4 linked regions of the Saccharomyces cerevisiae S288C genome follow. Changing the gene in region 1 together with any one later gene gives a genetic interaction. Each region holds a gene or a part of one and is shown in the gene's direction. Other genes may lie near its edges. The genes, in order: SEC16, SEC12, BUD31 and SAR1.

Region 1 (11,647 bases):
TGCCAATTCTCTCAAGTTACCATTGTCAACACCTGAGGTAACCAAGGGCATTGGAATGTCTCTTTGGACACGGTAGATTCTTGTCCATGGGGGCACTAGGGCCAAGATTCTAGCAACTAAGTCCACTAAGGCGTTGGCACTATAAGACTTATACCTGCCCGTTTTCCAAAGTTCGTATAAACCTGTACCCCTAATGACTAAAGTTGGATAGATTTTCAACCCATCAGTCCTAAAATCAGGATTTTCAAAATACTCTTTGAACTGTTCAATATCTCTTTCCATCCCAACATTTGGTAAATCTGGCATCATGTGAGAAACAACCTTATAACCAGCATCTTTAGACACAGCAAAAGTTTCACAAACAGACCTAACGGTGTGTCCTCTATTAGTATCACGAGCAACGTCTTCGTACAAGGACTGAACACCAATTTCTAATCTGGTACAGCCATATTTTAACATATCGTCCAAATGTGTTTGCGTACAATAATCAGGCCTAGTTTCGATTGTTATACCAACACACTTCGTTAAACTTTGTTGCGAATAAAGAATAGCTTCATCAATATCATTACCATTGAACCCAGAAAGTGCATTATGCAATTTCACAATAAAATCTTCACGATATTCTTTTGGTAATGACATAAATGTACCACCCATCAGAACATATTCGACTTTATCGATGGAGTGACCTAACTGTTTCAATTGTTCCACCCTACCACGTGCTTGTTCATAAGGGTCATAACGAGCTCTGATGGCACGCATTGAAGTTGGTTCATAGCCTGTGTAAGATTGTGTAGAATACTCAAAATCTGAATCTGGACCACCTGGACAATAAACACAAATATTACCTGTATATGCAATGTGAGGACAACGATGTGGTTTACACATAACGGCTACCACTGCAATACCCGATGCTGTTCTTACTGGCTTAGCCTTCAATTTGGGTAATAAATATTTTTTGTATTGGTCTGGAATAGAATTAATGATATCGGTTAACCTTGGTTGTTGCTTTAGTTTATATTTCTTTGAATATTTAGTAATCAAACCATTCAGATTAATTTCTCTTGTTGTTCCCGAGGTTAAAGAATCTGTTAACTCTAATGTGATATCAGCACAACATTGTATAAACCTTTCCTTTTCAGGTGCTAGCTTTTTTTTGTTAGTTTTTGGGCCTTTTCCATGACGAGCCATCTTTGTCAGGGTGTTCTTCGATTTTCCTTAGGTGCTTTTAGGACTTGTTTATTTCAAAACTTTGCACTGGATAATTTGAGATGAGCTAACTAAATTTCAAAATTTTTTGACCATTTTTTTTTTTTCATGAGGAAGAGCCAGTGACAGTAAATAATAAAAGGTGAAATGATTAAACAATGAAAGCGGCAGAAAAATAAAATCAAACAGTGGCAGTATTGACTTTTGAAAATCAGAAGTTCATCCTAAGTTAAGACTTTCTTCTTTTAAGTGCTTTCTCCTTCTCTCACTGTCTTATCGCTGTATATCTCATTGTTGAATAATATAACACAACGTTATAAGTGATCATCACTTTCTGATCCATAATTTCAAACCTCAAGCGACCGTACATGTGGCATTTTCCACTATAAACTTACGAGCAAGAGAAAGATATACGGAAAAGGTTAATTGGCAGGTTACACAAGATTTTGGTCATTGAATATTTGCAGCCCTCCTGCTTGAGAAACTGGACAACAACTGTTATCAATATTCCCTTTTCAAAATAGTGGTATTTAACTGGCCATAACCAAGGAAACCGTTGTACCTATTATTTTGTATAGTCTTCATTTAATAACGTGTTAAGAATGACACCTGAAGCCAAGAAAAGGAAAAACCAAAAGAAGAAGTTGAAGCAAAAGCAAAAAAAAGCTGCTGAGAAAGCTGCTAGCCACAGTGAAGAACCACTTGAATTACCAGAAAGTACGATTAACAGCAGCTTCAACGACGACTCGGTGAACCGTACAGAATCTGACATAGCTTCAAAATCTGATGTTCCTCCGGTCTCATCATCTACCAATATCTCTCCGGCTAATGAAACACAACTAGAAATACCTGATACTCAAGAATTGCATCATAAACTGCTCAACGACTCTGATCAACATGATATTACCGCGGACTCAAATGATTTGCCAGACAACTCAATCGTTGAACATGACTCTGTTATTACCCAAACAAAACCAGCCATGTCTCAAGAATACGAAGAGACTGCCGCTCACTTATCTTCGAGAAATCCATCGCTCGATGTAGTCGCGGGAGAACTTCACAATAATAATGAACATACCCAGAAAATTGCCGTATCCGCTGTGGAAGAGGATTCTTTCAATGAAGAAGAGGGTGAAAATCACGACAGCATAATAATTTCATCATTAAACGATGCTACCCCTTCTCAATATAATCATTTTCTCCCATCCGATGGCAATCTTCTTTCTCCAGAATTATCTTCTGGTGATACGCCAACTCACAATGTTCCTCTAGGCACAAAAGACAATGAAATAAATGACGATGAGTATTGTAATGATAAGGAAATTAGTTTGAACGCAAATAATGTGCTTCCTGATGAACTTTCAAAGGAAGAAGATGAAAGATTAAAACTAGAAACGCATGTATCAACCGAAGAAAAGAAACAGGATATCGCTGATCAGGAAACTGCAGAAAACTTATTTACGTCTAGTACAGAACCATCTGAGAATAAAATAAGAAATTCTGGTGATGATACCTCCATGTTGTTTCAAGATGACGAAAGTGATCAGAAGGTTCCATGGGAGGAAGATGTGAAGAAAGATTTTCATAATGAGAACACAAATAATACTCAAGAATCGGCACCGAACACAGATGATCGTGATAAGGGTTATGAAGGAAACGAAGCTTTGAAAAAGTCCGAAAGTTGTACAGCCGCGGACGAGAGGTCGTACTCTGAAGAAACTTCAGAAGATATCTTTCACGGACACGACAAACAGGTAGTTGAAGGCCAAAATGATTTCACTGGGAAAAATATTGAGAATGAAAGCCAGAAATTAATGGGGGAAGGGAATCATAAGTTACCGTTGTCTGCCGAAGCTGACATTATAGAACCTGGTAAGGATATTCAAGATCAAGCCGAGGATTTGTTTACGCAGAGCAGCGGAGACTTGGGAGAAGTTTTGCCATGGGAATCTACTGATAAAAACGCTGATGTAACGAGCAAATCCCAAGAGAAACATGAAGATTTATTTGCTGCTTCTGGAAACGATGAGAAACTTCCTTGGGAAGTTTCTGACGGTGAAGTATCATCGGGAAAGACGGAAAACAGCATGCAGACTAGTACTGAGAAAATAGCTGAGCAAAAGTTTTCGTTTTTGGAAAACGACGACGACCTTTTGGACGACGACGACAGCTTTTTGGCTTCTTCTGAGGAAGAAGACACAGTACCTAATACCGATAATACAACGAATTTAACCTCAAAACCAGTTGAAGAAAAAAAGGCTTCAAGATATAAACCTATTATCGAGGAGGAAGCAGGAATGCGTCAAGAGCAAGTTCATTTTACCAATACTACTGGCATTGTAACACCGCAGCAGTTCCACGGTTTGACTAAAACTGGACTAGGCACCCCCAACCAACAAGTCAGTGTACCAAATATAGTTAGTCCTAAGCCTCCTGTGGTAAAAGACAATCGTTCAAATTTTAAGATAAATGAGGAGAAAAAGAAGTCTGATGCTTACGATTTTCCACTGGAAATTATTTCAGAAAGTTCCAAGAAGGGTCACGCAAAGCCGGTTGCCGTTCCTACTCAAAGGTTTGGCTCAGGGAATTCTTTTAGTTCTTTGGACAAACCAATTCCACAGAGCAGGAAAGGCTCTAATAACTCAAATAGGCCACCCGTGATCCCATTGGGGACGCAGGAGCCTCGATCTTCGAGAACTAACTCAGCGATCTCGCAATCTCCCGTTAATTATGCTTTCCCTAACCCATACAAAATTCAACAACTACAACAGGCTCCTATCCAATCAGGTATGCCTTTACCAAATACCAACATACCTCCCCCAGCATTAAAAGTGGAAACCACCGTTTCTGCTCCTCCAATTCGGGCAAGAGGGGTCAGCAATGCCTCCGTGGGAAGTTCAGCGTCTTTTGGTGCTAGACATGCAACACAGTACGGCCTCAATAACGGGGTACCTCCGGTTTCGCCATATGGTCAAGCTACCATAAATTTGCCAACTGCGAATAAGTATGCCCCCGTCTCTCCTACAGTTCAGCAGAAGCAATATCCATCAGTTGTGCAAAACCTTGGCGCTTCGGCCGTAAATACCCCCAATTTTGTAAAGACCCATAGAGGCCATACAAGCTCTATTAGTTCGTATACACCAAACCAGAATGAACACGCCTCTAGATACGCACCCAACTATCAACAATCTTATCAGGTGCCATATACCTCACAACCTGTTGGTCCTGTAGCTGGGAATTCAAGCTATCAAAGCCAAACCCGAAGTTCTTATGCAGTTCCTATGATGCCCCAGGCTCAAACTTCAGCAAGTATTCAGCCTCACGCGAACATTCAACCGCCTACTGGCATTTTACCTTTAGCCCCCTTACGACCTCTAGACCCCTTACAAGCCGCTACGAACTTGCAACCCCGTGCAAGCAACATAACGGCTGCAAATTCACTACCTCTTGCAAATTTGCCACTTGCTGAAAACATACTGCCAGAAATTATCACGCATCGAGCTACAAGTAGTGTTGCACCACCACGACAGGAAAATAATCCAATTAAAATAGACAACGAGGCTTTATTACGCCGTCAATTTCCGATTTTTCATTGGAGTGCTGCAAACAAGGTCGTGTACGCAGTCCCCCCTATCCCTGACCAATCGCAGTACATGATTTCATCAAGCATTGTACAGGAAATAAAAGTGACACCAATTGACCAGATAATTAAACCGAACGATATGCTCAAAAGCTTCCCAGGTCCTTTGGGTAGTGCCAAATTAAAAAAAAAGGATTTAACCAAATGGATGGAAACCACTATTAAATCCATATCTGAAAATGAATCATCCACTGATATGACTATATGGCAACTATTGGAAATGAAACTAAACGATAAAGTTAACTGGAAAAATATTTCAAAACTACTATACAATTCTGACGAACTTTTAATGTACCTATCTCAGCCCTTTCCAAACGGTGACATGATTCCAAATGCATATAGACTGGATATAAATTGTCAGATGAGAGTCCTGGCGTTCTTACAAACGGGAAATCACGATGAGGCACTTCGCTTAGCTTTAAGCAAGAGGGATTATGCCATTGCACTATTGGTTGGCAGTTTAATGGGTAAAGACAGATGGTCTGAAGTCATTCAGAAATATTTATATGAAGGGTTTACTGCGGGGCCAAACGACCAAAAAGAATTGGCACACTTTCTGCTCCTTATCTTTCAAGTATTTGTTGGTAACTCCAAAATGGCCATAAAAAGTTTCTACACTAATAATGAGACCAGTCAATGGGCATCCGAAAACTGGAAGAGTATCGTTGCAGCTGTTCTGATTAATATCCCAGAAAATAATGAAGATCCACTACTTATACCACCTGTTGTCCTTGAATTTTTGATAGAGTTCGGTATATTCCTCACCAAAAAGGGCTTGACAGCCGCAGCTAGTACATTATTTATTATTGGTAACGTACCACTTTCTAATGAGCCAGTAATGGCAGATTCAGACGTTATATTTGAAAGTATTGGAAACATGAATACTTTTGAAAGCATTCTATGGGATGAAATCTACGAGTATATATTCTCGTATGACCCTAAATTCAAAGGATTTTCATCTATTTTGCCCCAGAAGATATACCATGCATCTCTTTTACAAGAACAAGGTTTGAACAGCCTGGGGACAAAGTATACTGATTACCTCAGTTCCTCAGTTCGAAAACTGCCTAAGAAAGATATTTTAACAATAAACCTCACTCGTGAATTGAGTGAGGTGGCTAGTAGGCTTTCCGAGTCTAATACAGGATGGCTTGCAAAACCAAAACTAAGCAGCGTATGGGGTCAATTAGATAAATCCTTCAATAAATATATTGGTGGCGATGATATTGATGCATTGAATAAAAAAAATGATAAAAAGAAAGTTTTTGATGGGTTCACACCGGGATCTTCTGCCAATTCGTCAACTGTGGATCTCACCCAAACATTCACACCTTTCCAAGCTCAAGTTACTTCGCAAAGCTATGTGGATACTACAGCTCTTTTGCATAATGCCCATAATGTACCAAGCCATAGTGTGCTGCATTCAAAGCCTTCCAATGTGTCAAAGGGGTTAGTTGAAGCAAACTTACCGTATACGCATAGGATCGGTGATAGTTTGCAGGGATCTCCTCAGCGCATTCATAATACACAGTTCGCTGCTGCTGAGCCTCAAATGGCTTCTTTGAGAAGAGTTAGAACAGACCAGCATACAAACGAAAAGGCTTTGAAGAGTCAGCAGATTTTAGAGAAAAAGTCTACGGCCTACACTCCACAATTTGGACAGAACCATAGCGTTCCAATGGAAAAGTCTAATTCGAATGTGCCATCTTTATTTGCCGACTTCCCTGCTCCACCCAAACTTGGAACAGTGCCGTCTAATTATGTGTCTAGTCCTGACTTAGTAAGAAGGGAGTCTATCATATCTACCGGATCAGAATTTCTTCCTCCTCCCAAAATTGGGGTACCTACTAAAGCTAATTCCTCGCAGGGATCGCTTATGTACTCACCAAGTGTGGAAGCTTTGCCTATCGACCCTGTCGTCCCGCAAGTTCATGAGACGGGATACAATGATTTTGGTAACAAACATTCTCAAAAAAGTATGCCTGAAGATGAATCTCACACATCACATGATAATAGCAATGCTGATCAAAATACATTAAAAGACTCTGCAGATGTTACAGATGAAACAATGGATATTGAAGGACCTGGCTTCAACGATGTGAAGAATCTTCTTCCTATGGAGCCCAACCACCAGCCTACGTCTACAGTAAATCCTATACAAACTATTAGTGACGATATCCAACCGATTCTTCAAACTAACGTGGAGGTCCGGGGTACTGATGCATCGAAAATGGAAAATTCACTTCCCTCCATTGAAAATGAAAGAAGTAGCGAGGAGCAGCCAGAAAACATTTCAAAATCAGCATCATCAGCATATTTACCATCAACTGGTGGATTGTCACTCGAAAACAGACCGCTAACTCAGGATGAAAACAGTATCTCAGAGACAGTTCAATCCACATACTTGCCAGCAGGAAGTATTTCAATGGAAGCTAAACCAATTTCTCAAGTGCAAGATGTTCCAAGAAATGTTAATAATAAAGCATCCAAACTTGTGGAGCAACATATGGCACCACCAAAGCCAAAAAGTACTGACGCAACCAAAATGAACTACTCACCATACGTGCCTCAATCAACTGCCGCTAGTGCAGATGGCGATGAATCAACGATTCTGAAAACATCGCCTGCTATATATGCAAGAACTCACCAAGCACATGCATCCAATCCATCACAATACTTTCCTTTGGTCAACCAAGCAAATGAAACTGCTTCATTCGAATTATCTGAATCAACATCCCAGGCACAAAGTAATGGAAATGTTGCTTCAGAAAATAGATTCAGCCCAATAAAGAAAGCCGAAGTCGTCGAGAAAGACACTTTTCAACCTACTATTAGGAAGGCTTCAACTAACCAATACAGGGCTTTTAAACCGTTGGAATCAGATGCGGATAAATACAATGACGTTATTGAAGATGAATCCGATGACGACAATATGTCTACTGATGAGGCAAAGAACAGAAAGGAAGAAAAAAAGAATGTGAATATGAAAAAGGAAACAAAACCAAGTAACAAGGACATAGATGACAAGTCTAATGGTTGGTTTGGTTGGTTGAAGAAAGATACTGGCGACAAAAAAGTGTATAAGGCCAAGCTAGGTCATAAAAACACACTATACTATGATGAAAAATTGAAACGTTGGGTGAATAAGGACGCAACCGAAGAGGAAAAACAAAAAATTATTGAAAGTTCGGCACCACCACCTCCTCCAATCGTGAAACGTAAAGATGGCGGCCCAAAGACAAAGCCACGTTCAGGCCCCATCAATAATTCCCTACCTCCAGTACATGCCACATCAGTTATTCCGAACAATCCAATCACTGGTGAGCCTTTGCCGATCAAAACATCCCCTTCTCCTACAGGACCCAATCCAAACAATTCTCCATCACCATCCTCTCCCATATCAAGGATTTCTGGCGTAAACTTGACTAGCAAAAAGGCAAACGGTTTGGATGATTTATTGAGTTTGGCAGGAGGACCCAAACCAGCAAGTACGAGAAGGAAGAAGAAAACAGCGAGAGGCTATGTTAATGTAATGGATAACATACAATAATTATAGTAATACGTTTTTCTTTCATGGTACCCTTATGCCTTCCCTTTTCTTGATGTATATTATATACTTATAAAAACCGTAGTAAATTTTATTAAAACAATGATTACAGGAATCCGTATTTAGGTTATGCATCGTTGTCAGTAAGAAATCAGATGAATGCGATCTGAAACTTTGCTTATACTAATATTATTCTATCATACCTCATTTTCTTGCTTCGATTAATGCAGGACGCCGGTTCCGGGTTAGGATCACCGAGAAACAGAAAGCAAGCAAGGCTTCAGTTACAATTCGAAGAAGTACTAAGGGGGTTGTCGTGGAAAAATCTTGAATCAGAAAGCGGCTGACTGGAGCATTACTAGGTTCATTACTCACTGGTTCTACTCATGAAACCTTACTTATTTGACCTAAAGCTAAAAGACACAGAGAAGCTGGATTGGAAAAAAGGCCTCTCCTCATATCTCAAGAAATCATACGGCTCCTCACAATGGAGAACATTTTATGATGAGAAAGCTACTTCAGAACTGGATCACTTAAGGAATAATGCAAATGGAGAACTAGCACCTTCTTCATTGTCGGAACAAAATCTAAAATATTACTCATTTTTGGAGCATCTTTATTTTCGCCTGGGTAGCAAAGGATCAAGATTAAAAATGGATTTCACTTGGTATGACGCAGAATACTCATCGGCCCAGAAAGGATTGAAATACACGCAACATACGTTAGCATTTGAAAAGTCTTGTACTTTGTTCAACATTGCTGTAATCTTTACCCAAATTGCGAGGGAGAATATCAATGAGGACTACAAAAACTCAATCGCAAATTTGACAAAAGCTTTTTCCTGTTTTGAATATCTATCAGAAAATTTTTTGAACTCACCTTCAGTCGATCTTCAGTCAGAAAACACTAGGTTTCTGGCTAATATTTGCCATGCAGAAGCTCAAGAATTGTTTGTCTTGAAATTATTAAATGATCAAATATCATCCAAGCAATATACATTAATCAGTAAACTTTCTAGAGCCACGTGTAACCTCTTTCAGAAATGTCACGATTTTATGAAAGAAATAGATGACGATGTGGCCATTTATGGTGAACCCAAATGGAAAACGACAGTTACTTGCAAACTGCATTTCTACAAATCGTTAAGCGCTTATTATCACGGTTTACACCTTGAAGAAGAAAATAGAGTTGGCGAAGCAATTGCTTTTCTCGATTTTTCTATGCAACAATTGATTTCATCCCTTCCATTCAAAACGTGGTTAGTGGAATTTATAGACTTTGATGGGTTTAAAGAAACTTTAGAAAAGAAACAAAAGGAGTTGATTAAAGATAACGATTTTATATATCATGAAAGCGTTCCAGCCGTTGTGCAGGTTGATTCCATTAAGGCGCTCGATGCAATAAAATCTCCAACATGGGAGAAGATATTAGAACCATATATGCAAGATGTTGCAAATAAATGTGACTCTTTGTACAGAGGAATTATTCCCCTAGATGTCTATGAAAAGGAAAGTATTTACTCAGAAGAAAAAGCGACGCTGTTGAGAAAGCAAGTTGAAGAAACTGAGACAGCAAATTTGGAATATTCTTCCTTCATCGAATTTACAAATCTACCCAGGCTCTTGAGTGATTTGGAAAAACAATTTAGTGACGGAAATATTTTCTCGAATACGGATACACAGGGACAATTGATGAGGGACCAAATTCAGACATGGTGTAAATTTATCCAAACAAATGAATTTAGGGATATAGAAGAACAGATGAACAAAATTGTTTTCAAAAGGAAACAAATTTTAGAAATCCTTTCTGCCTTACCCAATGATCAAAAAGAAAATGTTACAAAACTAAAATCTTCTTTAGTAGCTGCTTCAAACTCAGACGAAAAATTGTTCGCATGCGTAAAACCACATATTGTCGAGATCAATCTATTGAATGACAATGGAAAAATATGGAAGAAGTTTGACGAATTTAATCGCAATACGCCTCCACAACCTAGCCTATTGGATATCGATGATACCAAAAACGACAAGATATTAGAGTTGTTAAAACAAGTAAAGGGCCATGCGGAAGACTTAAGAACATTGAAAGAGGAACGTTCGAGAAATTTGTCTGAACTAAGAGACGAAATCAACAACGATGATATCACAAAATTATTAATTATTAATAAGGGGAAATCCGATGTTGAGCTCAAAGATTTATTCGAGGTGGAACTGGAGAAATTCGAGCCTTTGAGCACAAGAATAGAGGCGACAATTTACAAACAATCTTCAATGATAGATGACATCAAAGCCAAGCTAGATGAAATTTTTCACCTTTCAAATTTCAAGGATAAATCTTCTGGGGAAGAAAAATTTTTAGAAGATCGTAAGAATTTTTTTGATAAGCTGCAAGAAGCAGTGAAATCATTCAGTATTTTTGCATCCGACTTGCCAAAAGGAATAGAGTTCTATGATTCATTATTCAATATGAGTAGAGACTTAGCAGAAAGAGTGAGAGTTGCAAAGCAGACCGAGGATTCAACAGCTAATTCTCCCGCTCCTCCCCTCCCTCCACTTGATTCTAAAGCGTCTGTCGTTGGGGGTCCTCCATTACTGCCCCAAAAAAGTGCAGCCTTTCAGTCATTATCTAGACAAGGGCTCAATTTAGGGGACCAATTTCAAAATCTCAAAATAAGTGCCGGCAGTGATTTACCTCAAGGACCCGGTATTCCACCAAGAACTTATGAAGCTTCGCCATATGCTGCAACGCCTACTATGGCAGCCCCACCAGTACCACCGAAACAATCGCAAGAGGATATGTACGACTTGAGAAGACGTAAAGCAGTTGAAAACGAAGAACGTGAACTGCAAGAGAATCCTACGTCCTTTTACAATAGACCCTCTGTTTTTGATGAAAATATGTACTCCAAATACAGCAGTTAGGTGCATTTCTTATTTCTTAATTTTATTGTAGCTTTTTTTTTTCAACTAATATGATAATTATATATATACCGGATTTGTTGAAAGCCAGTTTTGCAAGGATAAAGAAACTGCGATTTAGCAAAAGTCCCTTTAATGCTTCTTCCATCTTTGATCTACTTTCTTTTGAGTATTAGGTGTATACCATACACTTTCAGATCCAAAATCAGCCTCGGACATTTTTACAAACGAAATAAGGCCATTATCCATAATAGCGATAATAAAGCTCCGATATCCCGTCTTCAATCTACGATTTTGCTGTATGTGAGGTGGGTACGCCTTTCTCTTCTTTTTCGT
Region 2 (7,744 bases), on another chromosome or scaffold:
ACGCTGTAGGTTAAAATATCATGAATGGCTTGAATATTAAAACTCTCTTCCACCTTGGTGAATGGAGCTTGGATTAGATGAAAGGAAATCACGGTCAATAGCACTGTATCAAGGACAGACCAACGCATTGTCAACTGAATCGTTGTTTAATGGCTTTATTCAACTCTTTTAACAACACTAATCGTTAATGGTTTCACTTGCTATTAGTAAATTCCTTGCGTTATAAACTGTGAAGTGCCACGACATTTAATGCCGGCTGGTAAAAGGTTGTTCATTTTTAAGGGCCGAATTTTTCATTTTCATTTTCATTTTTTTTTTTTTTTCACTATTGGAATAACATGTATATTATAAATATTATATAATATTAAATGTTTAATGCGCTTGTAAAGCCAAGAACACCCTTTTCATTGAGGAATTTTCAACTTTTAAAGCGGAAGAATGTCTGCATTGAGAAACATCAAGTTCAATGAAGAAGAAGATGGTGAACTACCCTGCCTCGTAACAGGTGAAGAAAATAATCTACAAGAAATTTTGGAAAATGTCTCGTATGATGGTGGAAATATTGTTAGCGATGCAAAAGTTGAAAGGGTAAACAAGCAAGTGGAGAACACTTCTGCAGGCGCAACAGATGTGCACGAGAAAAAGCGTATTCCTGTGAGCATTATTACCGGCTATCTAGGATCAGGTAAATCGACGTTGCTGGAAAAAATTGCATTAAAAGGTGCAGATAAAAAAATTGCCGTAATTTTAAATGAATTTGGAGATTCTAGTGAAATCGAAAAGGCTATGACCATTAAAAATGGATCGAACAGCTACCAAGAATGGTTGGATTTGGGTAACGGGTGTCTGTGTTGTTCGTTGAAAAATATAGGTGTTAAAGCCATCGAAGATATGGTGGAGCGTTCACCTGGTAAAATCGATTATATCCTTTTAGAGACCTCCGGTATTGCAGATCCCGCCCCCATTGCGAAAATGTTCTGGCAGGACGAAGGATTGAATAGCAGCGTTTACATTGACGGGATCATCACGGTTTTGGATTGTGAGCATATACTAAAATGCTTAGATGATATTTCCATCGATGCCCATTGGCATGGTGACAAAGTTGGTTTGGAGGGGAATCTGACTATTGCACACTTCCAACTAGCCATGGCTGATCGAATTATAATGAACAAATACGATACTATCGAACATTCACCAGAAATGGTCAAACAATTAAAAGAAAGAGTACGGGAAATAAATTCTATCGCACCGATGTTCTTCACCAAGTATAGTGATACGCCGATTCAAAATTTACTAGATATTCATGCATACGACAGTGTACGGATATCTGACATCTTAGATAGTGGTAGCGGAAACGGTACCATTCATGATGATCGAATGGGCACAATAATGCTTACTTTCAGACCATTAAAAAACGAGGAAGAATATAATAATAAGTTTATTAAGCAATTTTTGCAACCTTTATTGTGGAAGAATTTTGGAGCCATGACAGTGCTGGGAGGGCGTCGCCGAGATGACGGCCGTGATTGGGAAGTACAAAGAACTAAAGGTCTGATACTTATTGAAGGAGAGAACCCCATTGCTCGTGTAATCCAAGGCGTCCGCGACACCTACGATGTCTTTCCAGGCAAATATGACGGATCCAATAAAGAGTGTAAAATTGTGCTGATTGGGAAGTACCTAGAAAAGGAATCCATAGAGGAACTGTTACGTAAAACCCTGGAATGATGGTTGGCATAATAAAGACGAGGTAAGTTATGTATATTTATACGTATGTATGTGATACAAAATGAATGAATATTAAGCGGATGGATCGAAACATTTTAATCCTCTCTAATAGAAACTATTTTAGACGATCTGTTGAATATTCTTTTCCTGTACTTGGCCAAAACGTAGAAAAGTAACAATACCGAAATACCAAGCATAATCTTTGGTAAAGGATGGTGAAGCTGATTATATTTTGCGTCTTCTAACTTTCTTTGACTACCCTGGTATAAATAATTCTTCAATGTAATACCTTTCTCCAAATCGCCGTTTTGGTAATCTTGAAGCCTTTGTAAATACTTTTCGTGAGCTTCCTTTGCATGCTGAATCCTGTGTTCCTGGGATGAAATGTAACCTATTGTTATTGGTTGCTCTGGTTTGCCATTTTCGTCAGTTTTCACATTAGCTAGTTTATCCATCAGATCTTTTAACCCGGCGGTAACTTGGCCAAACACAACACTTTCACCTTCAAGTGGCGTCTCACTGGTCTCAATTATAAACTTAAGACCCTTATCGTCCTTAATCATGGAAACTCTGCCTGGCCTATCATGAATTAAACTATGATTTTCTTCCGGGAGTTTTGGAGCCAACATTTCCGTTTCTTCAATAGAGGAGGAAGAAACGGAGCTACCTTCTATAGCTCCATTCGGTAGAATTTTATCAAAATCGCGTTCTGGCGAGTAACTGTGACGGGAAGCAAGGCGATCTTTTACACTATCAACATACTGGCAAAAAGTCATTACTGTCTTGGGCACCATAGTCCCGTATAAGTCTATTGTTATGAGACGGCCGGCTTCTTCCGAACTTTCAGGATCTGTGAAAACAATTCCGATGTTTACATTATGTGTAATAGGAGGGTCTGGTGCGTATTTTTTCTTTAGGTCTAAGGAGTCTGAAGAAGCCCTTTTGTTATCCACAGGTAATGGCAGAGCCGTTATGCAACTAAACATGAATGCCACATAAAGATAAAGAAAAAAGCTCTTCATTGGGAACCAATGTATACAAATTGTAATAATCTTTCAATTGTGATACTGAATATGAATAGTCTTCTTTATTTATCTACTGCAGTAGTTGATTCTATATATTCTATATATTCTATATTTTTCTTCTATTTTTTTAAATATTTTTTTTCCAATCAAATTGAAAGACCCAAAGAAGGATCGATCTTCTCCAAAGGGACGCGTCGTGTGCCTACAGTTTCCAAATCAGGAATGTATTTTCCTATTTAGGCAGGTTCCTGCAGCAGCCGCACCCCAATGAGGAAGGAGCATACCGTTTCGTAAGAATCATATTTTAATGGTTTTTGGCTTGCCAATGGAGGGTATGAGATCTTGCTTTAGGATGTCTCTACACTGAATCAGCTTTAAATCCTTGATATCTATCGTGGAATCTTGTGGGCCCCGCTCAGCTATGTTTAAATCATACGTTTTTTGTAGGATACTGGTGACGAGCCACAGCACTTGGCCCAAGGATGCGCTTAATGACAGCTGTGTGCAGCGGCGGTCGCCTAGTAACGAGTCAGTGAGCATGGCGCTGATTAAATCACCACTTCCACTAAATTTTGCGTTGATCTTGGGGATTTCATAGAAGAATATCTCTTCACTGGCCGAGCAATCAAACCCTGCTACTACGTAAGTGTCGTTGCTCAGGAATTCAGATAATTCCAGACTAGTGACAACTATTCGGCTTACTCGAGGGTACTTTTTATGAAATAGTTTAAATGCCTGCTTAGCGTCGTCTAAGGTACGAATTGACATCCCCACCAACAGTTCCATTTCAAACTGATTTGGTGTGGCCAAAAAAATTTTGAAGTTTTGTAAAATGTCTTGGTATACCGCAACACATTCTCGATCCACGTACAGCCTTCCATTATCGCCCAGTACAGGATCTAATATCCACTTGACGTTTTCACTCCCCTCACATAATTGACCCACTATTCCTGCTACCTTTTGCAGGGCTTGAACATTGGGTAAATAGCCACTAAGTACGGCATCATACTTGATTCTAAGAGACCCAATCAAGCCCTTCTCTACAATGTCTACCAACTCCTCAGTGCTGCATTTGAAGCCTGTGAAGTGGGCGTACCCCGAGTGGTTAGAAAACTGAACTGTGTTCAATACGTCCACATCCCAACCTCTGTATTGAAGTGGGAACGTAGCGGCCTTGTTTCCCACGTAGCCATGTATGACGTGTGATTGAATGGAGAGCACTTTTTTTGTCGTATGTAATGTACTGGTCATTGGCACCACCCTCACACAGGCATGTATTCAACCTTCCACTGCGTCTGGTCTAATTTCTCAAAGCTAGTTATTATCTTTATCTTGAATGGTGATGACAATAGAGTAAGAATGAGGGAAAAAAGAAAAGTTGAAAAAAAAAAAATCCAAAAAATTCAAAAACGTGTACAGAAACCTAGAAGGATACGTGATAGAAATACAGATATATAACAAGGTTGAGATACAATCGAGCCACTATGAAGTTCGTGACAGCTAGTTATAACGTCGGGTATCCTGCGTACGGTGCAAAATTTTTGAATAACGACACATTACTTGTGGCAGGCGGTGGAGGAGAAGGAAACAATGGCATACCAAACAAGCTGACGGTCTTGCGCGTGGATCCTACCAAAGATACTGAGAAGGAACAGTTTCATATATTGAGCGAGTTTGCATTGGAAGACAACGACGACTCTCCTACTGCAATTGACGCTTCCAAGGGTATCATTTTGGTTGGCTGCAATGAAAATAGCACTAAGATTACCCAAGGTAAAGGTAATAAGCACTTGAGAAAATTTAAATACGATAAAGTGAATGATCAATTGGAGTTCCTCACTAGTGTAGACTTTGACGCATCTACAAATGCGGATGACTACACGAAGCTGGTTTATATTTCACGAGAAGGTACCGTTGCAGCTATCGCATCATCTAAAGTACCTGCTATAATGAGAATCATTGACCCGAGCGACTTGACAGAGAAGTTTGAGATCGAGACTAGGGGTGAAGTAAAGGATTTACACTTTTCCACTGATGGTAAGGTTGTTGCTTATATCACCGGTTCTAGCTTGGAAGTGATTTCAACAGTGACTGGAAGTTGCATTGCTAGGAAAACAGATTTTGATAAGAATTGGAGTTTATCTAAAATAAACTTCATAGCCGATGACACAGTATTGATAGCAGCCTCTTTAAAAAAAGGGAAAGGTATTGTGCTGACCAAAATAAGCATCAAATCAGGAAACACTTCCGTATTAAGATCCAAACAAGTGACAAACAGATTCAAAGGGATTACTTCTATGGATGTCGACATGAAGGGTGAATTGGCGGTACTGGCAAGTAATGACAATTCCATAGCTCTTGTGAAACTAAAAGACCTGTCAATGTCTAAAATATTCAAACAAGCTCATAGTTTTGCCATTACAGAGGTCACTATCTCTCCGGACTCTACATATGTGGCGAGTGTTTCGGCAGCCAACACTATCCACATAATAAAATTACCGCTTAACTACGCCAACTACACCTCAATGAAACAAAAAATCTCTAAATTTTTCACCAACTTCATCCTTATTGTGCTGCTTTCTTACATTTTACAGTTCTCCTATAAGCACAATTTGCATTCCATGCTTTTCAATTACGCGAAGGACAATTTTCTAACGAAAAGAGACACCATCTCTTCGCCCTACGTAGTTGATGAAGACTTACATCAAACAACTTTGTTTGGCAACCACGGTACAAAAACATCTGTACCTAGCGTAGATTCCATAAAAGTGCATGGCGTGCATGAGACGAGTTCTGTGAATGGAACTGAAGTCTTATGTACTGAAAGTAACATTATTAATACTGGAGGGGCAGAGTTTGAGATCACCAACGCAACTTTTCGAGAAATAGATGATGCTTGAGCTTGAGAGAAAGTTATGAGGTAGCAATAATGAAGTAGCGAAAAGGAGAGTGACGACACTCAAGCTATGAAAAAAAACGCAAAGATACAAAAACGATCTCAATGATATTGATGATAGAGATTTATCTGATAAATTAGAAGTGGTGTATTTACATGTTTTTGTATATGTTTTGGAATTGAGCGTAATAGAAAGGACGGCAGTCCTTATGGTTTATGACAAATACGAAAAAAATACTACACAATGCTTTATATTATGTTCTCATTATTATATACGAATACGTACTTCTGCTGGTGCATTGTCTGCGCTACTTTTTTGAATTTCTATTTTTATTTTTACCATTATGGTTGGTCTTTTTCTTTTTGATGCTATCCTTAAATAATTTATCTAGGTCATATTCATCCTCTCCATCGTCTTGGCTCCCTGTAAATTCCTTATCCTTAGCATCCCTTTTCTCGTCTTCATTTTGTTCGCCTTCATCAAACTTTCTCTTCCTGGAACCACTATCATCAGAATTATCGCCAAAGGTTTTTCTCCCACTTATCACACCCTCAGGTTTTCGCAGTTCACTGTAACCAACGTTGGAGATTATGAGATTGGGTCGCTTCTTATATACTACTCTTTTCACCTTTTTCTTCTCCTTACCTGAAATTTTTTTTAAATCATCTTTGTAGCTATTGAGGTCCCACGCTGAGTCATCCAGACCAAAGAGTTTACCTTTCTGCTCTATAGGTTCCACATCTGAGTTGATATTAGACGGCGTATTGGAGTTGGAACTCTCTTCGTCATCCGTCTTACCAAATTTCATAAACTTCATATTCATGACTCTACTAGAGAGTTTGCCAGTGACACCATTGTTAGCACTCATTTGTTGCTTTTCCCTTGGTTCCTTATATGCTTATTGTGTTTAAGTGGCCCTCATCTCTACTACTTTTTCATATTCTGAAATTTCCAGTAGAAAATTTTCAGCGCTTTTCTTAGAAAGAGACAATGGAATCAGACAGCCGCCATTACTTGTAGGCGCTATAAACAAATCAGCATTGTCTGTTCGTCTTTAATTATTATAAATGAATGGTGACCTTTCTTTTCCTATCTAGAGTTTATATACAAAGAAAACTACATAAATCTTCAGTCTATTGTGTATCAATGTAAAGAAGCCTACATTCGTCCATTTGATAATATGACTTCTATATTCTCGCGCAACATAGCTTCATTTTCCTTGTAAAAGTTAGCCCGCCTTACCATATCTTCATTATAGCCCTCATCTCCCGATAAAACTTTCAAAGCATTCGAGGTAGAAGCAATGCATTCATTTAATGCTTTAACTGGGTCCTCACTAATTTTCTTGAAGAAACGGTATCGTTTGTTGCTCTCGTGTAGATTCGAGAGAACGGACGTTATTTCTTTGTCCTGTAAAGCTATCTTGGGTTTGATTTGTTCCAATTCCCTGGCATTTTCATTCAATTCAGCAGCCCCAATTTGACTTTCTCTTTGTGTATTATTGAATTTTAGAGCGTTGACATCAGGTACTTCAATATCAAGAACCAACTCACCATAAGTGGAAGCTTTATCAACGCGTACTGTGTAATCAATTTCAATTGGCTGTAATGGGAGCAGGTGAGTACTATTAATAAGGGACAGTAAATCCGTTAATTTCATTGTATCTGGAGAAGATTCTTTAAGACTGCTGGGTAATAAGGTAATAAGCTGAGTGTCTAATTTTACAATAGAAACTTGACTGGAGGCTGCATCAAGCATCTTACTAGTACTGGTGTTGCTATTGTGATTGTTCCTGTTGCCCATCAAATTTTCGAATGCAGACTCATCATTGGTAAGCAATTCATTTAAATGGATGTATTTATATATGGAAAATATTGCATCATGTGATGTACCGCTCTTCAATCCTATTATTGCGGTTAGTTGTGGAGAGTAGCTCATAAATGGCTCTTCTGGGGATGATTTTCGCAGGATGCTTATAGTGCATTCTACATTTTCAGACCCTACCCTCTTAATATCGAGACCATCGAAGTCTACAGGATTATTCGGGTCATACTGCCATTTCACTGATTCTAGTTTTGGAGTTGTAGAACTCAT
Region 3 (6,811 bases), on another chromosome or scaffold:
TCATGTATTCATGCTGCGGCACTTTCACAACGATGATGCTTCCGTCTTCCTGCTTCTTGGAGAGAAGATCCGGATAGATGGCCTCGACGGCCTCCAGTTCTTCGACCAACTGTTCGTGATCGTCATCCATTGAGCTTTTCTTTCCTCTCTCTTTTTTTTTTCTTGTTACATATTCCTATATATATGTATATATATCTATATATATATATATCCCAGCGTATATGACTGCACAAGACGCAATTTTCTTGAACGGTTTTTTCTTTTCAGCACTGCGAAAGAGAGAGCAACGGTAAAGAGCATGAGCCAATTTGAAAAGCAGAAGGAACAGGGCAATTCTTTGTTCAAACAGGGCCTGTATCGCGAGGCTGTGCACTGTTATGACCAACTAATTACTGCTCAACCGCAGAACCCGGTCGGGTACAGCAACAAAGCCATGGCGCTGATCAAACTGGGTGAATATACACAGGCTATTCAAATGTGCCAGCAAGGACTGCGGTACACCTCAACGGCAGAGCATGTAGCTATCAGATCCAAATTGCAATATCGTCTAGAGCTGGCACAGGGAGCGGTAGGTTCAGTACAGATCCCTGTTGTAGAGGTTGATGAACTACCGGAGGGATACGACCGGTCCTGAGAAAAGAGAAAGGGAACACTTCTAATTTATCTTTAAAATTATATATATATATATATATATATGTGTGTTTGTATACTCTGTGGGTATTTCCGTGTATATGGTTAATAATAGTAGTATCTTGTCAGTTTTTTTTATGTTTTTCTTCGCGCGTCAACTTTCTACCAAGAGAAAAACAATATAAGGTCTCCTTACTCTATAGGAGAATAAAACAAACAAAAATAAAAAGCACATCGTAGCGCCAAGAAAATACTGCAAATACCAAATACCACAATAATACTACAATTATCTATACACAAGTGTTTTGCCGCTTAAAACTTCGATTTTCATAGTACGAAACTATACACCCTTGGTTTTTCTCTTTTCTAAATACATATCTACCTTGTAAAGAATTTCCCGCACATCTTTGCGGGCATACAGTTCATGTATTGGCAACTAACGGAACTAAGGCAACATATCTTGCATATTGCAATGTTCACTATATAGATGAAAACTTATATCTAGGTTTCACGACACGAGAATAACTAAGAAGCACGATCCATGATATAGAAAAATCAGTTACGACGAAGCACGGCAAATTAGCCGCCGAAGACCGATATTTTTGCCACCGGTCACAGTTTTCTTTTCCACGGAGCTCTTCGCGGTTTTTTTGTTCCGGATTTTTTTTACCGGCTCTTAGCGGACCGTTTTGGTTATAAGGGGAGTGGCAGCGGCGGTAGACACTGCGCTCTATAAGAATACTTGCAAGGGTCTTGTCTATTGTATAATTCGCTAGTATTTGTTTTGCATTGTACTCTTAATACCCCAACCAAAAACAAAATAGTGAGAGTAATGGTGCGTTTTGTTTCAATTTTAAGTTTATTCGGCTGCGCGGCGACGCTTGTCACGGCCCATGATGACATGGACATGGACATGGATATGGACATGGATATGGACATGAATATCGATACGACAACGTCTCAATCCATAGATGTCTCATCCACGGCTTCAATCGTCCCCGTGCCACATGAACCAAAACATTTGCATGGCCTTCCTATACTGCAATCGCCCTCGCTTACCCCTGCGGAGAGATTGTACTGGGAAAACTACAACACCACAACCTACTTTACTACACAGGCTGGGAATAGGTCTGCCCTTCGCTACCACATTATTACGCTGCTCTTGGTTGCATTTGTGCTCTACCCTGTGTCCCTGGCGCTAAGCGCCGCCCGTTCTAGGTGGTACTTACCCCTGCTGTTTGTTAATCTATGCATTTGTATTTCGTCCGTAATGGCATTGTCCGTGTTCAAAAATACTTTCCCGGAAGAAGACTGGTATGCGCATAATATCTATGGCACCACTTCTGTGCTACTTCTCGTTTTTATGCTTGTTCACTTCTTCGCTGCGGTGCTTTCTGTCCCCGTCTCATTAGCATCGAAAAAGGAGTACCGTCCGGTTGACACCATCCCTCTGAATGATCTTGAATCTACGCCCGTCATGGTGAATAGTGCACGTGGCTCTCCAAGTCCTTCTTCCAACAGAGACACGTTGTTCTCGCTCTCTTCAGACACCACGACCGCCACGGCCACCAATAATAATAAACGGAGACGCGCTGAAGGCGAAGACGAGGGTGATAACACCTCCAACCACGACACTTTGCGCGACGAAGACTACGATAATGATGACGACGAAATTGCTTCCATTGAAGCGCCACCTCTGCTTCCTCAAGACATACCCGTTTTCCGAATCTTGTTTACCAACACGAAGTACCAGATGCTTGCCGCGCACCTCTCGTGCGTCGCCAACGTGGTCTTTCACATGCTTACCTACCCGCTATTCATGTACATCTTTGTAGACCTAATCATCGGCTTCGCTGTAGGTAACTTGCTCGGCAAGGGCATCCGCATCTTTAATCTCTTGGCCCACTGGATTAAGGGCGGCGTATTTTTTACTCTGGGCGTTGTCTCTTTAGCAAGATACTGCGGTTTCGCAGCTAAGTACGGCTGGGCATGGAACAACATCAGCTTCACCTCTCAACTCACACAAACGCGTTCCTCCAATCTTCTTTTCCGGTTTGCTCCTGCGGGGACTTTCACCATGGAATTCGTTGAATCCTTCCTCATTTTCTTTTACGGGTCCACCAACATCTTCTTGGAGCACCTGGCAGGAAACGGCGGCGCATGGACTGCCAAGGATTTACAGCATGTGTCGATCGCGTTTATGTTCATAGGAACCGGATTGTGTGGGCTACTCACGGAGTACAAGCTCAACCATTGGCGATTCGAGCATGCCCGCAAACGGCCACAGACCGATGTAGTTGCTGCCACACCGGGGTACTCTCCAAACCCGTTCCCCGCTTTCACCATATTTTGGACTGGGATTCTGATGTCCCAGCACGCACAGTCCTCGCAATTTTCTACTACCATTCACACGCAATGGGGATACTTGTTGTCCTATGGGTCCTTCTTCCGTCTGCTAACATTTTTGATTCTGTTTTTGGTGCCCAACACCAACAGTGCCGCATCCAAGCCTTTCACGGAGTTGATCACCTCGTTCTGTCTCCTCTGTGGTGGTCTGGTATTTATGGAGTCCACGGATCAGTCCATTGAAGCCATGGAATATAGGGGGTTTACCCCCATGTTCACTTTCAACCTCAGTGTTGGATTCGTTTCTTTGTTGATGGCTTGGGAAATGATTTTATTTATTTGGAAAGACTGGCTCATCAAAACCAGGAAAACCAGTCTTTAACCGCCATAATGGCTTTTCTTTTTTCTTTTTTTTTTCACCCCCCCCTCATCTTTGAGTGAGAAGCTTATATGCTTTACTTTTCCTCACCTACTTTTTAATTCTTAATTATTAGTTTATCCAGCATTCAGTCAATTCTGAATGCGTTATCGCTTCCTCAAAATTTATAAAAATGAATAAGCAAGATCTCATTGGAATTGAGTTCAATGACGATTATTGAGGGCCCATACCTGATAAAAGTGAATATATTATGTATAATGACTCTACTGGAGGTTCTCTCTGAGAATGTAAAATAATCCACAAAAGACATGAAAATTAGTTACTCTACATAATGTATAATAAGTTCTTCCTTCCTTTTTTCTTTTTTTAGTTTTTCTACTCACCATCCTACCTACGCCAAGCTGCTCTACTGTCTTGGATCTGTGAAAAAACGCCTAGAAACATGTATAAAACCTACCGCTTTAAACCATAATTTCAAATCGAAATGGCACTATGGCCGAGTGGTTAAGGCGAGAGACTCGAATGGAATAAAAAGTTCGGCTATCTCTTGGGCTCTGCCCGCGCTGGTTCAAATCCTGCTGGTGTCGTTTAATTTTTTTTAAATAACATCGTTGATTAAAACAATCCTATTCACTGCAGTCACAGACTTAGCACATTTACAACCAGTACAAGATCAATCACACGCGTTGTGGTAGGAACTTTGACGATGATACTGCGTTGGCTCTTGAACGCATAGTACATTTGTCGTTCACAACGGAAAGTGAAATACTGAAAAAAAAAGAAAAATTTTCTTAGGGACTCATCATCAATGTAAACACCTCTACAGCCGTCAAGACTAGCAAAGCTCACCTCACAAAACGACATGCCGCGCATAAAGACCAGAAGATCCAAGCCTGCACCTGACGGGTTCGAAAAAATCAAGCCAACCCTCACAGATTTCGAAATCCAACTCAGAGATGCCCAAAAGGACAAGTCGTCTAAGCTCGCAGCAAAGTCCAATGAGCAGCTCTGGGAGATAATGCAACTCCACCACCAGCGCTCTAGATACATATATACTCTGTACTACAAGAGAAAGGCCATCTCCAAAGACCTTTACGATTGGTTGATAAAGGAAAAGTATGCTGATAAATTGCTAATTGCCAAATGGCGCAAAACCGGGTATGAAAAACTGTGCTGTCTGCGCTGCATTCAAAAGAACGAAACTAACAACGGTAGCACTTGCATCTGCAGGGTGCCTCGTGCACAGTTAGAGGAAGAAGCACGCAAAAAGGGCACACAGGTGTCCTTCCATCAGTGCGTCCACTGCGGCTGCCGTGGATGTGCAAGCACAGACTAACGACTATATGCACGTTGCAGTATTGTTCTGGCCATGTAATTATCTCTCTCCCAACGTTTTAGAAGAGGTTTTCGTCTCCTTCGTCAAAGACGACCACTTTCCCATTTTGGTCATTGGAACGCGAAAAAACAAAACAGACGCGAGAACGCGACGCGAAAAAATATATTTTTCCGTTTTTTTTTTTTTTCGGAACAAAGATAACGCGTTAAAACCTGTGGATGTAATAAGGATCTGAAACACTGACTAAAACGCGTCCTCATTTAAAATCAAAAAATTACTTCTTCTCCTCCCTTACGGTGCCCTTTGATCCTTCTCAAACTTTAAATATATGTTGCATGATTAATTGAAAATCATATAGAGTATATCTTAACAGAGGTTCCAACGCTTTAAATCGTATTCTATTCTTTTCCCCCCTTTTATTATAGTTACATCTACTATTTGAGCTTCTTTTATTGACCGAAACTACCTCTTATTTCGAAGCAAAAAAAAAAAAAATCAACAAAAATTCCAACTTTTCAATGATGAATGAAGACATATCCATCATTGATGGCCATAATAGTTTTTTAACGGAAAAAAGCACCGTGCTATTAACCCAAGCCAAGAGAACACTAGAAGACGAAAAGGAAATGATTACTCCCCCGAGCTCAACTGTGAGAAAAACAATGAAGGAAGTAAATAAGAGGCCGTCGCATCCCCTCTCACCGGATCACTCGTCCCCAATTGCTCCATCTAAGGCCAAGCGCCAAAGATCGGACACATGCGCTCGGTCCAATGGTAACCTAACCTTGGAAGAAATTCTTCAATCTTTGGAAAGAAGAAGAATAAATGGTGAACTCGCCAAGAAACCTCCATATTCGTATGCAACTTTGATTTGCTTGGCCATTTTGCAATCTCAGGAGGGAAAGCTAACGCTATCCCAGATATATCATTGGATCCACGTTCACTTCCCTTATTACAAGCAGAAAGATGCTAGTTGGCAAAATTCAATAAGACATAACTTGTCTTTAAATGATGCGTTCATCAAGACTGAAAAGTCCTGCGATGGTAAGGGTCATTTCTGGGAGGTCAGACCGGGTGCCGAAACAAAATTTTTCAAAGGTGAAAATCGTGGTTATGAATTTGTAAAGGACTCCTTACAAGACATTGGGAAGTATTTTGAAATAGATTCTACACTTGATGAATTAGAACAAGTTGAGAGTGGAGAAGGCAATGATGATCTTCCTGACGAGGAAGAAAGAGAGGAAGCAGGGAAATTCCCTTCCATTGAAATTCAATTGAACTCCTCCCCTATACTGAGAGTTTCCCAGTTACATCACATACCGCAATTGAAAACAGACAACAGTGTACTGAACCCTCACGAAAACCTAGAATCGATGCGGAACATGATAGAAAACGATGTCAACAATATAGATTCCTTGGAACCTCCTTATGTCATGAAGAAATATCATACTTCTTTAGGCTTACCGTCGCTGGTGAATGCCAAAGATCATTTCCAGGCGGGTGTGAAAAACAATAATATCACCCAGGCAAATAGATTTAATACACTCCCTATAACTAGCGCAAAGTCTCCTCAGAATTTCAGAAAATATTTCACCTCATTCAATTCAAATTTTGAAGATTTATCTCCACTTCGAAGTAATGTAGGGGCTGGTTCTCTACTCGACCCACTTCCGTATTCCCCATTGAAGCTGTACGATCAGAAAAATCTTGCGCTCATGTCGAAACCACAATCTCAGCAATCATATTCCAATTCTCAACTTCCACCTCCACCTTCCTCTCATGGTTCGGACTTACTTAAAACACCCAAGATGAGGCATTCCGATGGCTTAGAGAAAACCCCATCGCGGTTGATAAGCACACCTAAGGACGGTAACTCGATTTTGAGGAAATGGCAGACTCCTTCACACCTTTTTGAAGATTTGTACTGTTCTCCGCTATTTAGAGCTATAGAGACTCCAATCAGGTATATCACGACGCCGGGGGGCACTTTGGAAACCCAAATTTCACCAAGAAAGTCCTCTGCACCCGATGTCCTCACAAGCGCAACGAATTCCAAATTTGCTTCAAGCGGGCTGTTTGGCGTGGATGTTTATTCTGTTTGGAAGCGCGCAACTGAAAAG
Region 4 (6,880 bases), 250 kb from region 1:
ATCTGTGGAAATGTACAATAACCCAGCTGCTTTATTGTATGGTGATGAGTACGTCTTAAACAAGTACGGGTTTTTCTACACCATGTTCAACGCAAAACATTATTGGTGGAATGCTCTTTTAACGACGTATATTCTTGTAAAAGCTTTATTTGTCGGATTCGCACAGGCATCAGGTAAAACGCAAGCATTGGCTATTTTCATTATTGACTTGGCGTATTTTGTTGCCATCATCCGTTATAAACCATATTTGGACCGTCCAACGAATATTGTCAACATTTTTATTTGCACTGTCACCTTGGTCAACTCTTTCCTTTTCATGTTTTTCTCAAACTTGTTTAACCAAAAGTATGCTGTCTCTGCCATCATGGGCTGGGTGTTTTTCATTATGAATGCTGCGTTTTCTTTGCTTCTACTGTTGATGATTCTGGCCTTTACCACAATCATTCTGTTTTCTAAGAATCCTGACTCCAGGTTCAAGCCAGCAAAGGATGACAGAGCATCTTTCCAAAAGCATGCTATTCCTCATGAAGGTGCCTTGAATAAGTCAGTGGCCAACGAATTAATGGCCCTAGGTAATGTGGCAAAGGATCATACCGAAAATTGGGAATACGAACTGAAGAGTCAAGAAGGTAAAAGTGAAGATAATCTTTTCGGAGTTGAATACGATGACGAGAAAACAGGAACTAATTCAGAGAATGCTGAAAGTAGCAGTAAGGAAACCACCCGTCCAACCTTTTCTGAAAAGGTTTTACGTTCATTATCAATCAAAAGGAATAAGAGTAAACTGGGCAGTTTCAAGCGCAGCGCTCCGGATAAGATAACACAACAAGAGGTTTCTCCTGACCGCGCCAGCTCTTCGCCTAACAGCAAGTCATACCCCGGTGTCTCGCACACCAGGCAAGAATCTGAAGCGAATAATGGGCTAATCAATGCATATGAAGATGAGCAATTCAGTCTGATGGAACCAAGCATACTGGAAGACGCTGCTAGTTCCACCCAAATGCATGCTATGCCAGCCCGAGATTTGAGCTTGAGCAGTGTTGCAAACGCCCAAGATGTTACTAAAAAAGCAAACATCCTGGATCCTGATTATTTGTAAGCTTTGTCGATGGGATAAAGGTAAAAAGAACAACGTAATTAAATCATTACGAAAACTCTACTGCATTATTTTTTAGTCTTTTTATAGAGACATGAACATTCAATTACTTTCAAGGATAAATATTCTAATATTCATATTATTCACTTATGTATTTTTAACGAAACTCTACTCCATTCTACTGGGATCGGGCATACTTTACGGGGTGCACGGATTTTAGCAGTCTTTTTCTTTCTTGGCTTTTGCGAGATGCCTTGAGAGGAAGATTTTTTTTTCACTCAAAACCTCTGTCTTGTACATATCTAGAACATGTTTCATTGATATTGGACGTTACTATTTCAATTTAACAGTCAACCAGTCGTCCAAAAATGTCCAAGATCACTTCTTCTCAAGTCAGAGAACACGTCAAGGAATTGTTGAAGTATTCCAACGAAACCAAGAAGAGAAACTTCTTGGAAACCGTCGAACTACAAGTCGGTTTGAAGAACTATGACCCTCAAAGAGACAAGCGTTTCTCTGGTTCTTTGAAGTTGCCAAATTGTCCAAGACCAAACATGTCCATCTGTATCTTCGGTGATGCTTTCGATGTTGACAGAGCTAAGTCTTGCGGTGTTGACGCTATGTCCGTCGATGACTTGAAGAAGTTGAACAAGAACAAGAAGTTAATCAAGAAGTTGTCTAAGAAGTACAACGCTTTCATTGCTTCTGAAGTTTTGATCAAGCAAGTTCCAAGACTATTGGGTCCTCAATTGTCCAAGGCTGGTAAGTTCCCAACCCCAGTTTCTCACAACGATGACTTGTACGGTAAGGTCACTGATGTCAGATCTACCATCAAGTTCCAATTGAAGAAGGTCTTGTGTTTGGCTGTTGCCGTTGGTAACGTTGAAATGGAAGAAGACGTTTTGGTTAACCAAATCTTGATGTCTGTTAACTTCTTTGTTTCTTTGTTGAAGAAGAACTGGCAAAATGTTGGTTCCTTGGTTGTTAAGTCCTCCATGGGTCCAGCTTTCAGATTGTACTAAGCATAATTACGTGTTTTCATAGTTTAACGCTTTCAGAACTACTTATTTAATTTTGTAAGAAGTAATTTGAGTCACATTTGTATTTAGTAAAAGATTAAGAGTATTTCTATTTCACCGCCTTGATAGGAAAGAGCGGCGCGGAAGGGCAGCTGTAGGGAATTTTGCTCTGTATTCCCCTGTTTAATATCAAAAACAACAGAGAAGGATCCCCGATGAGAAAGACGCTCGGGAGGTCTCTGTGTTTGCTAGGCAATTGACATATTTAAAAGATTTTGTTTGAGGTTTTGCAGATAAACAAGAAGCAGTATGGCTAATGATCAAGATCCCAACAAGTCTCTCATTAATGACGCTTTGACTCGGAGTATGTCCGAATTTTATGATGATGATGATGATAACGACAGTGACATGTGTAGGGCAAATGATGAGGGAGAAGACGTTTTTGACCTTCCACTTAAGGTAGGCGTTTCTCAAAGCAGGAACTTTTCAGAAGTAAATGACGTGTTAGACCCGCTTTCTAGTTTGCATGGTCCGTCCAAGAAGGTGAGATTTGAACAGCAAAAGCAGCAACAGCAACATCAGCAACTTCACAATGACTTCAATACAGATTTCAACCTGAAAAGCCCGTCCAGTAAAAAAATGGGGGTAGAACAGCTGATCCAGTCAGCCAATGAAATCAACGATTACCTCGCTAACAACATTGACAAGGTAAATAGCTTTAACTCAGAGCTATTGAGCGGCAGTGGCAAGTTACCTGGGAGAGTAAAGAGTGACACAGCAACTCAAGGTACCGGACGCTTAGATTCCATGTCCAACTTTGCTCTTAGCGATACGGAGTTGGACAATGATGACGATAATTATCTCCTGGATCCCCTTGCAAATGCTAGCTCTACTACACCCACTGTGGAACACCACGGTTACAGCTTATTAGACAAGGCTTTATCCACGTCTGATAAGGAAAAAATATATACGAATAAAGTGAATTCGAATAGTCAGATAGATACTGATAATCACTCTCACGAAAGTGGAAACACTACCAATAACGAAACAGATGAAAATGAGAGTTCGGAGATCCTGGACTACACAAAATTTGATTCTTTCCCCTATCCCCCGTCTTCTGCCCCCAATGGGGAACCACCAGATTTGAAAGTGCTAAGCATTGAATGTGAGCAGGAAAATGAAAAAGAGCTACGACGAATATCTTTATTATTGGATCATTACGAATCAATACCGAAAATACCAGAATTGTCAGACGATGAAGCACTATCTAAGTTCCGTGAGAATATCGAATTAATTTTACAACTATCTAAGAAAATTAACGATAATGCGAACACTTTAGCGATTTCCTCCGAAGATCCTCAAAAATTTGTTAATTTTGTGATGAAGAACCCACCTTCCTTATCATTCAGAGATTTTATCGACAGAATCCAGAATAAATGCATGTTTGGTGCCGTAGTCTATCTTGGAGCCACCTATCTACTTCAACTTGTGTTTCTTACGAGAGACGAAATGGACGGTCCCATAAAGTTGAAGGCTAAATTACAGGAGGACCAAGCCCATAGGATCATCATATCTACAATAAGAATTGCCACCAAGCTATTAGAAGACTTTGTCCACTCACAAAACTACATTTGCAAAGTCTTCGGTATTTCAAAAAGACTGCTGACCAAACTGGAAATTTCTTTCATGGCGAGTGTTAATTTCGATGGATTAATGATTACTTGTGAAAAATTAGAAAAAACATTGCATATCCTTGATGATACAAGACAGGCATTAGGAAACACATGAGTTTTGCATATGTATTATGCAGGTTCATTTGTTCCTTCCCTTATTTCTTTTCATAGTATTTATTTTTATTTATTTATTTATTTTTTTTTGGATTTTATTTTATTTCTTTTTTAATGCTAAGAAAGTAATTCCGCATAATTAAACGTGTGCTGGCCTCGATAGGTACCTATAGTATACAGAAGCTTACGAAAAGCTCCTGCAGGATGGCACTTCTAAAATTCGCGCTCAACATGGCCGTATTGTACATTATATCGTTCTATCATTATATCGTATACGCCCGCATTACCCGACAACTCCGTCTGCAACGCGTTGACCAGAAAACTCGAACAAGAGATCGCATAAAAAACCAAAAGGAAACGAATTACTTGTCAAATAGTTATTGTAATGGATCCTCTAGAAAGGCAAACAGTAGATTTATTTCCTTCTTTTCTAGAAACATCATTATAACTAACAATATATAATTGGAATAATGGCTGGTTGGGATATTTTTGGTTGGTGTATGTTATCACCCTGTTCACGTTTTTCGGATACTTAGTTTTATTCAATGTGGTAAACATTGAATGTTTTCAGCTTAAGATCTATTTTTTTTTTTCTAGAAGAAATTGCGTCCTTTACTAACTTTATTTTACTGTACAGTCAGAGATGTGTTGGCTTCCCTTGGTCTGTGGAACAAACATGGTAAACTACTTTTCTTGGGTTTGGATAATGCCGGTAAGACCACATTGCTACATATGTTAAAGAACGATAGATTGGCAACCTTACAACCAACATGGCATCCAACTTCTGAAGAACTGGCTATTGGTAACATTAAGTTTACAACTTTCGATTTGGGTGGTCATATTCAAGCTCGTCGTTTATGGAAGGATTATTTCCCAGAAGTTAATGGTATCGTCTTTTTAGTCGATGCTGCTGACCCTGAAAGATTTGATGAAGCACGTGTCGAATTAGATGCTTTATTCAACATTGCCGAATTGAAGGACGTTCCTTTTGTAATTCTTGGTAACAAGATCGATGCTCCAAACGCCGTTTCTGAAGCGGAGCTACGTTCTGCTTTAGGATTATTGAATACCACTGGCTCTCAAAGAATTGAAGGTCAAAGACCAGTTGAAGTTTTCATGTGTTCCGTTGTTATGAGAAATGGTTATTTAGAGGCGTTCCAATGGTTATCTCAATATATTTAATTGACGTATACATCTATACCCTTTATATGACATTCACATGAATTCAACAGCTTTGTAATAATCAACAAAATTGCATAGGATGCCACCTCATAACTTTTGAGCACAGCATTTCCGCGATCATAGTATATTTTAGACTCTAAGATTGAATAAAAGTATGATACATCTTAAGTATACATATATATATGTATATATATATATATACATGAAAGTTTACCTCCTCATCTTACGTGGACGAGATTCATCGTCACCGCCCATAGTTGTTCTTTTACCATTCTGGGCGAAGTATTCTTTCTTTTTCTCCTTATCCCTTTGTGATTTTTCTTCCTCCATCTTAGCTAATTTTTTCAATCTTTCCTTACGTTGACTAGCCTTCTGTTCCTTCCTCTTGCTGTCTTTGGCTTTCGAAATCGTCAATACTTTTTGAATGAATGATCTTGCCTTCTTTTCATCACCACCTAGCACCACGGCTCTTTTAGCCATATATGTTTTCTTCTTTTGTGGTTTCATTTGATGGATCTGAGATTTGAATGGCAATTCCTTTTGAACAGCTTTTGGGACCTTTAGACCATTGAAGTGTCTTTCTACACGTTCTATTTTATGATATGCACTGTCCGGATTCGACGGTGTTTCCAGGTTCATAGCCGCTCTTATTTGGCCTGTCAATCTTAAACCTTTCCACTCGGTTTTTTCCTTCAACAATAGTGAGGTAACAGGATTATAGAATTTCTTGACGCGGACAGGATACCATGATCTTAGAATTACAATATCACTCATTAGGATTTTATCCTCAAAGGCTGCCCTATAGTGACCCTCAGGCTTTGAAAGTGCCCTTTTGATTTCACCACGGATACCCGAGACAGTTTTGATCTGCGCACCCTCAAACCTTGCAACTTCCATAGCACTTGAAAACATGTCCTTTATAAAGGCAGTATTTTTGAAAATTTTATATGGAAACCCAACTAATTTTAACTTTTTAACAATTTCAATATTAACGTCTATCTCTTCAACGATACCTGTTGCTGCAATTCTAAAACCGTTCCCGGTATCACTATTAGCAACAATTTGAACACCACAAAAAGGTGTGTTTGGAGAACATAAGGGACCGTAGAAAGCCGCATTACAATATGTGTGTTCTGGTGTATACTTTAGCATTCTGGTTCTTGTTCTAGAGTCAGTTGTTGTATAAATTGGTAAAGTTTGGAACCTTCTCCAACCCAAAGACAAGACCAGTGGGTCATTTGTCTTCAAAATCTTCTTATGCCAACGATGTCTTCTCAACCTGGCTTTGACAATACCGAACTTTATTTCGGTCGGCAATAAACCACCCATAACAATTGGAAATTTTGGATTGAAATTCTTGACAAATTCCATTGGGACTTTTTCGAAAACGATACGTACATAAGAACCAGCTTTGAAACCTTCGATTCTTTGACGTTGTTCTGGAGTCATTTCTTGATATTCTATATTGTTAATTTCTAACTGTTTAGATATCTTGGCCTTCTGTAGTTCATACCATGTATCATATTCATTGTTTTCATCATCTTCTTTAAAGTTTTCACCTTCTTCTATCTCGAATTGTGCACGTAGTTTTTCCTTCTTTGCAGCATTCATTTCTCTTTCTTGCTCCATGGTTAAGTCCTTTTTTTCCTCCGCATCAAAATTAGTGAATGAATTATCATCATCTCCATTAGTGTCTTCGTTTTCATCCTCATCCTCACTTTCTTTGTCACTATTGTCTTCTGCTTGTTCAGAAGGGTTTCCATCTTCTAGATCTTCAAAATCGCCGTATAGTTCTT

Evidence for each region.
Region 2: mutations in SEC16 (region 1) and SEC12 together harm fitness more than expected from each alone (negative genetic interaction), as found in Saccharomyces cerevisiae (2 studies listed by BioGRID).
Region 3: mutations in SEC16 (region 1) and BUD31 together harm fitness more than expected from each alone (negative genetic interaction), as found in Saccharomyces cerevisiae (3 studies listed by BioGRID).
Region 4: of SEC16 (region 1) and SAR1, extra expression of one rescues a mutant of the other (dosage rescue), as found in Saccharomyces cerevisiae (3 studies listed by BioGRID, with this or other methods).

Annotation. Positions count from the first base shown.
Region 1 is NC_001148.4:385,259-396,905, forward strand, and holds SEC16 (COPII coat assembly protein SEC16), read left to right. Parts: upstream 1-1,808; coding exon 1,809-8,396; downstream 8,397-11,647. Other genes in the region: Elongator subunit ELP3, read right to left, coding at 1-1,188; BRO1 (Bro1p), read left to right, coding at 8,780-11,314; tRNA splicing endonuclease subunit SEN54, read right to left, coding at 11,444-11,647. UniProt on the Saccharomyces cerevisiae protein: Involved in the initiation of assembly of the COPII coat required for the formation of transport vesicles from the endoplasmic reticulum (ER) and the selection of cargo molecules. Also involved in autophagy.
Region 2 is NC_001146.8:671,183-678,926, reverse strand, and holds SEC12 (Sar family guanine nucleotide exchange factor SEC12), read left to right. Parts: upstream 1-4,237; coding exon 4,238-5,653; downstream 5,654-7,744. Other genes in the region: ALG12 (dolichyl-P-Man:Man(7)GlcNAc(2)-PP-dolichol alpha-1,6-mannosyltransferase), read right to left, coding at 1-128; ZNG1 (GTP-dependent zinc transferase), read left to right, coding at 439-1,728; peptidylprolyl isomerase family protein CPR8, read right to left, coding at 1,824-2,750; putative pyridoxal kinase BUD17, read right to left, coding at 3,051-4,004; MPP6 (Mpp6p), read right to left, coding at 5,958-6,518; SNF12 (Snf12p), read right to left, coding at 6,809-7,744.
Region 3 is NC_001135.5:224,101-230,911, forward strand, and holds BUD31 (U2 snRNP complex subunit BUD31), read left to right. Parts: upstream 1-4,217; coding exon 4,218-4,691; downstream 4,692-6,811. Other genes in the region: YIH1 (Yih1p), read right to left, coding at 1-130; TAH1 (Tah1p), read left to right, coding at 299-634; TVS1 (Tvs1p), read left to right, coding at 1,463-3,358; HCM1 (Hcm1p), read left to right, coding at 5,210-6,811. UniProt on the Saccharomyces cerevisiae protein: Involved in pre-mRNA splicing. Important for bud site selection.
Region 4 is NC_001148.4:134,326-141,205, forward strand, and holds SAR1 (Arf family GTPase SAR1), read left to right. Parts: upstream 1-4,372; coding exon 4,373-4,400; intron 4,401-4,539; coding exon 4,540-5,084; downstream 5,085-6,880. Other genes in the region: FLC1 (flavin adenine dinucleotide transporter), read left to right, coding at 1-1,099; 60S ribosomal protein uL1 RPL1A, read left to right, coding at 1,465-2,118; PCL8 (Pcl8p), read left to right, coding at 2,425-3,903; GTPase BMS1, read right to left, coding at 5,295-6,880. UniProt on the Saccharomyces cerevisiae protein: Small GTPase component of the coat protein complex II (COPII) which promotes the formation of transport vesicles from the endoplasmic reticulum (ER).